Linked DNA regions of Oryctolagus cuniculus. Each later gene encodes a partner of the first gene's protein in a complex. Links are inferred from orthologs where the notes say so. Each region holds a gene or a part of one and is shown in the gene's direction. Other genes may lie near its edges.

Evidence for each region.
Region 2: ITPR1 (region 1) and PRKG1 share a complex: the UniProt entries of both Homo sapiens proteins name them as parts of the cGMP kinase signaling complex. The link is inferred for Oryctolagus cuniculus from reciprocal best matches to the Homo sapiens genes ITPR1 and PRKG1.
Region 3: ITPR1 (region 1) and CNN1 share a complex: the UniProt entries of both Homo sapiens proteins name them as parts of the cGMP kinase signaling complex. The link is inferred for Oryctolagus cuniculus from reciprocal best matches to the Homo sapiens genes ITPR1 and CNN1.

The regions. Positions count from the first base shown.
Region 1 is NC_091441.1:120,982,582-120,986,227, reverse strand, and holds part of ITPR1 (inositol 1,4,5-trisphosphate-gated calcium channel ITPR1), read left to right. Parts: intron 1-112; coding exon 113-293; intron 294-1,454; coding exon 1,455-1,708; intron 1,709-3,646. UniProt on the Homo sapiens protein: Inositol 1,4,5-trisphosphate-gated calcium channel that, upon inositol 1,4,5-trisphosphate binding, mediates calcium release from the endoplasmic reticulum (ER).
Region 2 is NC_091446.1:45,335,483-45,338,912, forward strand, and holds part of PRKG1 (cGMP-dependent protein kinase 1), read left to right. Parts: intron 1-236; coding exon 237-303; intron 304-1,830; coding exon 1,831-1,929; 3' UTR 1,930-3,430. UniProt on the Homo sapiens protein: Serine/threonine protein kinase that acts as a key mediator of the nitric oxide (NO)/cGMP signaling pathway. GMP binding activates PRKG1, which phosphorylates serines and threonines on many cellular proteins.
Region 3 is NC_091447.1:66,349,621-66,353,776, reverse strand, and holds the start of CNN1 (calponin-1), read left to right. Parts: upstream 1-1,292; 5' UTR 1,293-1,387; coding exon 1,388-1,450; intron 1,451-3,309; coding exon 3,310-3,431; intron 3,432-4,156. UniProt on the Homo sapiens protein: Thin filament-associated protein that is implicated in the regulation and modulation of smooth muscle contraction. It is capable of binding to actin, calmodulin and tropomyosin. The interaction of calponin with actin inhibits the actomyosin Mg-ATPase activity.

The DNA.
Region 1 (3,646 bases):
AGGTGTGGGTGGGTTGTGGGCTGGCTGGGTTCTCTTTGTGCTTTTGGGGCCGTGAGTGGGACTTGGTGCCTGGCCTTGCTCTCCGTGCTGAGATTCTCTGGTTTCCTCCCAGCATTCTTTTTTCTGCCGGTTGACTGAAGATAAGAAGTCGGAAAAGTTCTTCAAGGTCTTTTACGACAGGATGAAAGTGGCCCAGCAGGAAATCAAGGCGACTGTGACGGTGAACACCAGTGACCTGGGGAACAAGAAGAAAGACGACGAGGTGGACAGGGATGCCCCGTCTCGGAAGAAAGGTGAGCGCTCTTCTGCGGCTTCCAGATGCCCACGCTGCTTCTCACCCCGGCCCCAAGGAGAGGAGTACCTCCCTGGCTTGGTGGGATTCTCACTGAGGCCCTGTGCTGCAGAGCCATGGCACCTTCTTCTGGACCAAGCTTGAGGGTCCACCCAGAGTCTGGTCCTGCGGCTCCCATTTCGTGTCAGAGGAAGCTGGCCCCTGTCAGGTGACCTCCCTGTACCATGTGAGATATTTGGGAGTTGTCACAGCTTCCTGTCTGTAGTCTCCCTGGGAGTCCAGTCAGCCAAGGCCAAGGGTGTGGCCAGGCCCAGGGGGCTGGAGTGAGAAGGCCAAAAGTGTGTTGATTGACATCTGGGAACCTGAACCCCACTGGCCCAGTTGGGGACTCGGCTTCTCTGCCATAGCACCAGTGACACCTGGAGGCTGCCGTGTTGCCAGATGTGTCCTGTGCAGCACACGTGGCCTCGTTCCCCAGCCCAGGTTGTCAGCATGCAGTGCAGCTGTGCCCTGGCTGGGGTTGGGGGACATCACCCCTGGTCTAGAGTGGAGTGACAAGAAGGAAGACGAGGGAAGAGGGTGTCTGCATGCCCTAGGTGCCTGCTGTGAGACGCCCCTTACTGTTACCCCACTGCATAGCTGAGCCAGGTGAGGCTCACAGATGGGGATGCACTTGCTCAGGGCCCAGGGGAGCTGGTGTTGGAACCCAGCCAGTCTTCTCTGCTCACCCTCAGGCCATGATTAGCTTCTGGGGCTAGTCTGACAATTGGGTGAAATACTACACACCAAGTTCTGGGTCACGGTGCCGTGGCACCTGGGAAAGGGTTAATCAGTGGTGATACTGTAACAGCAGTTATTGTTGTGATGAGCAGGCTTTGGAGCCTCACAGGGACTTTGTCTAGGCAGAATTCACTTGTCCCATTGCGCAGGCGAGGAAGCTGAGGCCCAGAGCCTTAGTGTTGTGAGGATGACAGGACTTGTGTGCAGGCTAAGATCAGTGTTAAAACTGGGAGCCAGGAGTCCAGGTCCGACGCACAGTGTTAGTGCTGTCCAGGGACTGAGGGAGGCCCTAACTTCACGGGTCTGTAGTGAGCATGGGGTCTCGGGTTGCTGACCGTCCTAAGGACACAGCTGCACCTGCTGTCCCACACTTGCCTTGCAGCCAAGGAGCCCTCAACCCAGATCACGGAGGAGGTGCGGGATCAGCTCTTGGAGGCGTCCGCTGCCACCAGGAAGGCCTTCTCCACGTTCAGGAGGGAGGCTGACCCAGACGACCACTATCAGCCGGGCGAGGGCGCACAGGCCACGGCCGACAAGACCAAGGACGAGCTGGAGATGAGCGCTGTCATCACCATCATGCAGCCCATCCTCCGCTTCCTGCAGCTGCTGTGTGAAAACCACAACCGAGACCTGCAGGTGAGATGGGCGGGGCAATCAGGCCTTCCCCCACCCCCTCCCACTTCCCCTCCTCTTCACCCCTCCCTCCAATCATTGTCCCACTGTCTCCACAGGGCTAGAGAGGGACCCTGAGTCTCCCCCACCTGCTCTGTGTGCAAGGGGACTTCAGAAAGTTCACAGAAAACTTAGTTTAAATATAGGTTCATTTTGATAAAAAATGTTTTGACGTCCGTGCATAGTTTTTCAGTAATACACATTGCCATGAACTTGGTGGAGACCCCTTGTGTATTTGCTTAGTATGCATGGGAACGCGGGAACGTGTGCGGGAACGTGTGCACGTGTGTCTGGTGATCTGCCACAGTTTGGCATCTGGGTTCTCGGATTAAAGTTGGATGGGTGACGGAGGGCCAAGTAAGCAAGTGCGTCAGCTAGGTGAGGTTGACAAAACCTCGGCAATGGGAAGTTCTGGTGGCAGCACTCTGCTGCGTTGCCGGTTGTAGCACAACCTGGGGGAGGGCTGGGTCAGGGACACGATGCGCACACGGTGACGGACTCGACTCATGACGTCCTTGTTGCTCAGGGCTGTGTGGCTACTTCCAGTGTGTCATGCAAACGGGTGCTCAGATCTTTGACGGACTGACTGCTCCAGATACCTTGTGCTCATTTTGTTGTTGGTTCTGGGTGGCCGCAGTGGCCAAGTGTCATCAGGCAGGTAGATGGTCTCAACCAGCGAGGGGTGTGGTGGGGCCGTGAGGCAGTCAGGCGTTGGGAGCGATACTGTCAACGTCAGTCTCGGAGGGTCCTTCCTCTTCTGCTCCTCCCCTGAGTGTTCCTCCCCAACCCTAGTGTGCGCAGGCCCGACCAGCCGTCTTGCCATGGGAGCTGCAGCAAGCTAGACGTGCCTGGGAAGCCCTCTGGCTCCTGTGGCCGTTAGGAAGAGTCACACGCTCCATCTCCCACTTCGGCCTGGACCTGATGATGGCTGTTAAGTGCAGGGACTTAGGTTAAGTTGTGGGGGGAAGGGATGTTTATTTGATGATGTGTTGGGTGTTCAACTCAGTTGTCAGTTACAGATACTTTAATTGTGCCAAGAATACAGGAGTGTGTCCTTTTTCCAAAGGTTTCAGTGAAAGCAAGTTTTCAGTGACAGGAGCTTCTCTGCACAGAGAGCTGTGCTGCTCTGGACTGCATCTGTCAGTCCTCTTCTGTGCCTTTGGATGGGAGCGTGTGGTGGACACTCTTGTGTTCTTTGCTTTTCTTTACTTGGCCCTGGAGCGGGTTATGCTGGGACACAGGAATGGATGTGGAGCTTCCCGTCGGTGCTCTTAATGCTGGCGGCTCCCGTGCTTAGTGCACTGCCGGTGGGCCTTTAGGCTGATTCCTGTCCCCCACCGTTGCACGGTGAACAGTGAGCTCCAGCACATGCTCTGTGAGTGGATGCAAGTGTTTCCTAGAAGTGGGGTGACCAGGTCCACCCCTTGTATAACAGTGAGATGAAGAATGACCGTGTTCCTCAAGTTATGTTTGTGAAATGCATGAAGTTTGTATACCTGAAATAGAAGGTTTTGGGGGGAAAAAAGAAAAAGAGTATTGTGGTAAATTGTTGCTTGTTTTTGAGAATTGATGCTGGAATCTGCCAAAAACCTGTTCGCTGCAGTTCACTGTTTGGTGAGGCAGTGAGCCTGCTCTCCCTGCTTTGTTGAGGACGTGCCTTGCTTCTGCACCCCCCATCGGCATCCTCCGTACCTGGAAGACACATCCTTGGAAGTGCACGCACAAGCACACACTCGCACACTCCTCTTGCCCCTCACCTTAGTGGTGGAAACAGGTTCCCTCCAGGCCCTGGGCTGTCGCCAGCCTGTTATACCCTTTGCAGGAGAACTGTCTCCAACTCACCGTCCAGACCACACAGTCGTCTCTTTAGCATGCTCTCTACCCTTGGCAGTGTCACATGCC
Region 2 (3,430 bases), on another chromosome or scaffold:
CATCATGACTGAAATTACAAGGAGAAAAATAGAGTTCCATGTTAACTAGGATTTTAAATTTGACCATTAAACTTTAAAAATATTTCATACAATGAGCCAATTCTGCAATTAAATAGAAAATACTTTATCACATGAAAACATTTGTGTAACTGCTTTTTATCAATACAAATATGGTGTGTGTTGTAATGACAAGGGTTTAGATGGAGTGAAATGACTTTACCTCTCTCTTCTTCTAGATGGTTTGAAGGCTTTAACTGGGAAGGTTTAAGAAAAGGCACCTTGACACCTCCTATAATACCAAGTGTAAGTAGATGGCCCAACTTTTAATTGTGGGAGATATTTGTTGGCATGCTTTACTGGTCAGTAAAGATCTCTTCATGGTTTTTTTAAGTTTTATCCTATGATCAGATTAAATGAACTACTGCAGAAGAGCTACATTAAAATCATGATATATCCTAAAAACCAAGCAACTGGGGATAGTTATTGTATAGGTATTTCATTTTTTTTTTTAGCTATTTCTTTTACTTCAAATTTCTCATCTCAGTAAAAGTTAACTTTTAGTATGGGAAATGTTAGACACATAAGGATGTAGACCAATGAGCATGATTATTCTGCAGCAGCTGGTTTCAGCAGCCACTCTTGCTGTCCAGTGCTGTTTCATTCACGTTCCCACGTGGTTCTTCCCATCCTTCTCCCTTAAACTGGACGCAGTCCAGGCACAACTGTGTCCTCTCATCCTTCCACCGGGCTCTGAGAGATGCTCTTTTCTTACTACCTTGGGATTTTTTGTCACGCATAGTTTTGAATTGATTGCATTTACAATTTGTAAGCAGTACCACATCTGTTTAATAAAATCTGAGGCATCCTGACGTGTAGAGGGCTGTTCTGTGGTCCTGAGACTTGTATTTATAAAAGGCCTCTCTCGAGACTAACTCAAGACTCTTCATTGTACTGAAAAATTCTGCCATTTCCAAGATGTATTTTTGTGCCAATATTGTTTCTTCATAAACAAAGCAAAACTGCTGTTACTATGGCTCACATTACAGATGTTAATTGCATGCTTGTAATTCTGCTTTTAGAACAACAGTAAGAAGCTAGAAGGGTAAATATTCCACCTGTTTTATCCTACCATTAATACAGCAGGAGTCTCCTTCAACAGTAACATTAAATGGGCTCCACTGATGCTCTCCAGAATAGACTTTCCCCAGTCCATTCATGGGAGTTTTGCTGAGGTTGAGAACAGGATTTTTATTATACTTAGTATCGATAAAGGTAGAAACTCCCTAAGACGGCCTACAGACTCTAGGTAATGGGGCTCCCGCCTGCTTCTCCAGCCTCACCGCATTCTACTTTGCTCATTCCCCCTCTTCTGCAGCAGTCAAGTGGGCCGCTAAAGCATGGGTCTCGCTCCCATCTAAGGACCTCAGAATGTACTATTCCTTCTTTATCCAACACATTGATTCTTAGGTTTAGTCTCCAACAGAGACTAAACACGATCACACTTAGACTCTCACGGCATTGTGTGTGTGTGTTTTTTTTTTTTTTCACAGCACTAGCTCAAGTTTATCATCATGTAGATTATTACGATTCTTTTTAACCGTAACATTTATTACTACTGGAATATAAACCTCAAGAGGCTAAGGACCATGTCTATTTTTACTTACCACCATCACCCCTAATGCAAAGTACAGTGTCTGCTCTGATGTGGTAGACACTCAAAAAAATCATCCCTGGAAAAGGATTGAATAAAGAAGCTTTCTGCAATTCCAGCTTGGAACCCAGCTTTAAAAAGCAGAACACTTTTGAGCGTTCCCTCTCTCTCGTTCGCAGGTTGCATCACCCACAGACACTAGCAACTTTGACAGCTTCCCTGAGGACAATGATGAACCACCACCTGACGACAACTCAGGCTGGGACATAGACTTCTAATGCGTTTCTCTTACCTGCTTCTGCCTTGCTGAAGACAGCTTTTGCTGAGACACAGCTGCCAGCAAACCTGAGGGACAGAGAGAAGATTTGTGCTCGGGGTCACCATGATGCCTTTGATCGATGCTGCTCCAGTAACTCCAGTGGCATTAGGACTTCTTGCTTAGATGACAGTAGTGCCCTTTACATGTTTTCTGTTTGAATCTAAAATAGCAGTTGACATGGTGGTCCTGAAGCAAAGCCTTTCACCAGGAAAGAGAGATTTTCTATTGTTGCAATGATCTTGCTTTGCTCTGATTATATTCTGAAAGACTGTAGGAAACACTTCAATCTAGTCAGAGGCTGTACCTTGCTAGAACTGTCAAGAGGAGGAAGAGTAATAGATTGGGTACGACAGATTCCCATGGTACAGAAACGGGGATCTTCTCCTCCTTCAACTGATGGTTGTGGGGTCTGTTCCTGCAAGCTGGTGTATATACCGTACCAGAGAGGACCACACATCTGTTGGTCGCAGAGTTCATGTCAAACCAGTGCTAGAAGTTTCATGATTTTATTTCCCAGCAGTGCTGATGACAAGACTGAATGTTACCTTTTCTTTCTGACAGAGTTAAAAAATTGATGAAAAAAAGCACAACTGCTATGGGTTACGCTGAGACCTCTCATAGCGGGTATATATGCGTTTTTACAGAGGATGGAAAAAGATGCATGATATTTGTTTCTTTTTAATAAATTGGCATGACAGAGTGGTTAAAAAAAGCAATTCATGAAACCATTTCATATTTTTTAAAGTACCATGCTTAAAGAGGGTCCTGGAAATAAATGACTAGCAGCCAATTGGTTTTATTTATTACCTAACAAACCCTCAAACTGAGGCTTAAAATATTCCCTTTTATAAAAATATACCCGTGGGATGGGGATAGGGTAGGGTGGGGAGGGATTAAGACCCATCCAAAAAAATAAAAAAAAAAACGATATAGGTGCTATGTATATCTTTCATCTGTAATGTCAGTGTCTACACAGACAACACAAATTCTAATCATTACATGCGTAGCCAGAGACTCAAGAACTTTCACTAAATTTGTTAAACCAACTTCTGTCAGATTTCACGTATACAACGTATCTAGGGTTGAGACAGAGAGATAGGTGATTACAAAACTGAACTAGCTTCTTGTCTTAGGCCTGAACCAAAAAATAAAAATAAAATAGAAAGCACAAAGTCAGAGTTATTAAGATGTACCAGACCAGGGTTCTTATTTATTAAGGTCACGGTACAAGACAAGAACCTGGCTGAGCTCATGCACCTGTCACAGTAGGATGGGAATAGAAAATTTGTCAAAAATAAGTTTTAGCTGAAGTGAACAGAAATATTACAATTCTGAAATCTCATACTCACTAGACAAGACTAGATTTGAAATTAGCAAACTTCCTTGCTGTTTTCATCTGGCATAGCGTCTGCAAGTAAAGCTCAGTTCTCTGTCAGGAGCCCAGTTGACCACTGGCAGCT
Region 3 (4,156 bases), on another chromosome or scaffold:
CCTGGCTTTGGCCTGGCCCAGCCCTGGCTGTTGTGGGCATCTGGGGAGTGAACCAACCAATGGAAGATACCTCTGACTGTCTGTCTGTCTGTCTCTTCCTCTCCCCTGCCCCGCCCCCATCACCCTGTCTTTCGAATCAATAAGTATTTTTTAGAAGAGGGTCTGATGGCCCATGTGGGAGACCCGGATGGAGCTCCTGGCTCCTGGCTTCACATCTGCGAAGCTCCAGCCATTGTGGCCATCTTGGGAGTGAACTGGCGGATGGAAGACCTCTCTCTCTCTCTCTCTCTCTCTCTCTCTCTCTCTTTCTGCCTCTCTGTAACTTCGCCTTTCAAATAAAATAAATAAATCTTTGGAAAAAAAAATAAAAGCTCCTGTGTTCCGTGTCCCCAGGTACCAAGACCAGAGCCTGGCACACAACAGGTGCGCGTGATGCTTGTGGTGTGGACTTGGGGGCGGGGGCTGTGGCCTTGGCATGTCAGGAGCGTGTGGCAGGTTGTTGACGTCCAGCTGCCCCTGGCATGGCCTTGGCGTGGGGGGTGCGGTGTGGGTGCAGCGTTACCCCCGTGGTACAAGATGAGACTCGGGGACAGCGCTCCGCGGGGGCGCTTGTGGCCAGGGACCTGCTAATAGAAACACTCGGTGGCTCAGGTGAGCACAGGTGCATGGAGGGGGCAAGAGCCAAGATGTCTGCTCCCCCAGGTCCTTAGGAGGAGCCGGACCTGGGCTGCTGGACCTGCTACAGAGTAATGCTCCTGCCTGAGCCACTGCCCGTGCCGGGCGCTGCGCTGGGGACACTGCAGGGACACCGTGCCGCCTGCTTTTCACAACACCCCCCATGAACCCATTTCACAGACACAGCAGTGGAGGCCCGAGAGGTCAAAGGATTTGACTGAGGCACGACTGTTGGTGTCTGAAATGAGGGGGCTGCTTGCTATGTCAGCATGGGTGGCGGTCTTGCCTCAAGCCCCAAAGATGACCTCGGATACAGAGACTTGGAGACCGGGCCCCAGGGCAGGTGTGGGGGGGTGCAGTGGGGGCAGCGGTGGAGGAAAGCTGGTCTCTCTGGCCAGGACCCCCCCACACACACACCCGGAATAACGCAGGCTGCCCCTCGAGGTGGAAACAATGACATAGTCAGCTCCCAATACCAAGCCCCTGACATCACGAGGGAGGGGGGTGGCCGCGGCGGGGGGGGGGGGGAGGCGCCCCGCCCCGCCCCCTTGCCAGCCCCTGCGGCCAATGGGACGGCCTTGGAAGAGACCCGGGCCGCCTCCGGAGCTTCAAAAACCTGTGAGGAGCGGAGAGGGTGCAGACGGAGCCTCAGCTGCCGCCGCCCCCGCTCCTCGGCGTCCAGGCTGCGCCCAGCCAGAGCCCACCCGCTGCCATGTCCTCTGCTCACTTCAACCGAGGGCCCGCCTACGGGCTGTCGGCCGAGGTCAAGAACAAGGTAGGGCTGCAGGGCCTCCCTGGCCTGGCCCACGTGCCCTGCGTCCCCCCACCCCCCCGCCTGCCCCATGTGATCCGGAACCTGAGAGGGGAAGGGGCAGAGGCTTGGGGTAGGGGTGGGGGCTGCCTCTCTCCTCCTTGTCAGCACCCCAGAACCCTCAGCTGTTATCAGGAGGAGCACAGCGGGGGGCCCACAGTCACCCCGAAACAGAGGTGTGCGTCCCACCGTGGATGGGAGGCCTGTGTGAAACCTGGGTGCCCCGATGGGGTTGGAAGGGGGAGGCCTGTTGATTTTTCCACACCCCCCCCCAGTTGGACCAAGAAATTGGGGAGCACTGGAGAGGCCAGGCTCCCAGCGAGGCCACCTGAGGGGAGAGGGACACGGCTGGGGGTGGGGGGCGGAGGGCGGAGGGCTCCCAAGTGCAGAGGTGAGAACACGCTGTGATGCCACCACTGTCATGCTAGGGATGGGTACACGGAGCCTCTGAGGATGAACAAACAGCTAGCGGCCAAGGTCGGGCAGGTGCACTGCTAGAGCCGGAGTCTCCAGGGCAGAGACCCCGAATTCCCCACCCCGCTGCAATCGTCCCCGCCCCCCAGCCCCATTTCACAGAGAGGAACACTGAGGGTCAGGGTGGCTCTTCCCCAGGGTCCCGCAGCGAGGAACCCGGGAGCTGGGATTGGTACCTAGGTCGGTGGGTCTCGTTGGGGCTGGCGGAGGGGGCGGATGCTTGGGCTGCAGACAGATCCCAGCGCCACCCCCCTCCTCCCCCCCTCCCAGTGCCGGCCCCAGAGCCTCGCGGAGCCGCCAAGCCATATAAGGCGGCCTTGGGAGTCCGGCCACGCTATATAAGGGCCGGTTTGCTTTATAAAGCTGGGCTGGTGGGGAGGGGGGCGGCAGGGCCGGGGCCAGGTGAGGGGGCCGCTCCCTCCCCCGGCTCCCCGTCCAGCCTGGAGAAGGGGCAGCTGGATGCCCCCTGTCCCCAGAGCAGAACGTTCTGGATAAACGGGAGGTGGAGACAGAGATGCCGGGAGCTGGAGGCTCGGATGGAGGGGCGGGCGGGGCGCGGGATGAGACGGGGACAGGGATGCAGGGGCACCGGCTGGCACCCAGACCTGCCCCACCCTCAGGGGATGCCAGGAAGCTGGAGTTAAGGCGGGAGAGGGGGGCCTACAGGGACAGAGATGCTGGAGCCCCACCCCCAGCGTGATGGAGACGGGGGGGGGGGTGGGGGGGAGACTGACGCAGCTGGGGGAGAGAGAGCCAGCCAGACGGACGGACAGACTGACGGATGCCCAGTGGGTCAACAGCCAAAGGCAAGAAGATGCCCCCACCCCCCTCGCCCGGGACGCAGTCCCAGGGGCCAGGATCTTGGTGGGGGTGGTGGGGGACAGTGAGAGACAGCCAGCCAGAGATGTAAGACAGAGCAGTCCCCTGTCAACCGGCGGCACCAGGCACCTCCCGCGCTCCCCTCCTCCCCATCCGTCTGCTGTGCCCCCTCTTCCCACCAGGGGGAGCGAAAAGGGGCAGGGCCAGGGGAAAGCTAAACCCCAAGTTTGGCCTGGAGGGGGAACCAGGAGGCCAGGCGCCGCCTCCTCGCCCCCCCTCCAACCCAGCTCCGAGGACCTGGCTCTGGGCGCCTGCCCCCTTTTGTCTCTCCTCCGGTGCCAAACCTCAGAATGCCCGGAATGGCCCCCTGGGCAGGTGCCACCCCAGCCCACCCGCCCCCCTCCCTGGGCGTGGGGGCAGAATCGCCTTAGTTGGTCAGGAAAAGCCGGGGCTGAGGGAGGCTTGGGTTGGACACCCAGAGCCAAGGCCTCCACTCCCCCCGCCGCCCGCCCTGTGTCCCCCACCCCCAGCTGGCCCAGAAGTACGACCACCAGCGGGAGCAGGAGCTGCGGGAGTGGATCGAGGGCGTGACGGGCCGCCGCATCGGGAACAACTTCATGGACGGCCTCAAAGACGGCATCATCCTCTGCGAGTGAGTGGGGGGCCCTCGTGGCCCAGCCCCTGCCTGCCTTGTGCTGTCCCCAACCCTCCACAAGTGACTGCGCCTGGAGCTGAGCCAGTCGCTTTCTATCCAGTGTGAGAGCGTTCTTCGGGGAGTCGAAGGATCATTGTGCCCGTTTAACAGGCCAGGCAGACTGAGGCTGGGTCAGCTGACACATTGCCTCGCTATTCCAGTGGGAACAGCTGCAGACTTAGCCGCTGTGCTGCCTGGGGCCTATCCCCCCGACGGCCTCCAGAGACCCAAGAAAGGGAGGTCACCGCGAAAACGCGCGGGGTCACCAGTGGGCCCTCATGACTTTGCGGCTCCCCTGAGCCCAGCCAGGCCCGATCTGCACAGGGCAGGGTGACCATGAGGGCCAGAGCGTGTCCTTGGGAAGCTTACGGAAGGCAGGGGCTGTGCGTCTTGGTCCGTCCCCGTTCACCGGGAATGAGGACCAAGGAGGACACATTGGTGACTTGGGCCTGGGGGGCTGTGCAGGTCTCAGACACACAGCCCCCGCCCCTAAGTCCACACCACAAGCATCAAGCATCACGCGCACCTGTTGTGTGCCAGGCTCTGGTCTTGGTACCTGGGGACACTGAACACAGGAGCTTTTTTTTTTTTTTTTCAAAGATTTATTTATTTTATTTCAAAGGCGAAGTTACAGAGAGGCAGAGAGAGAGAGAGAGGGAGAGAGAGGTCTTCCATCCGCCAGT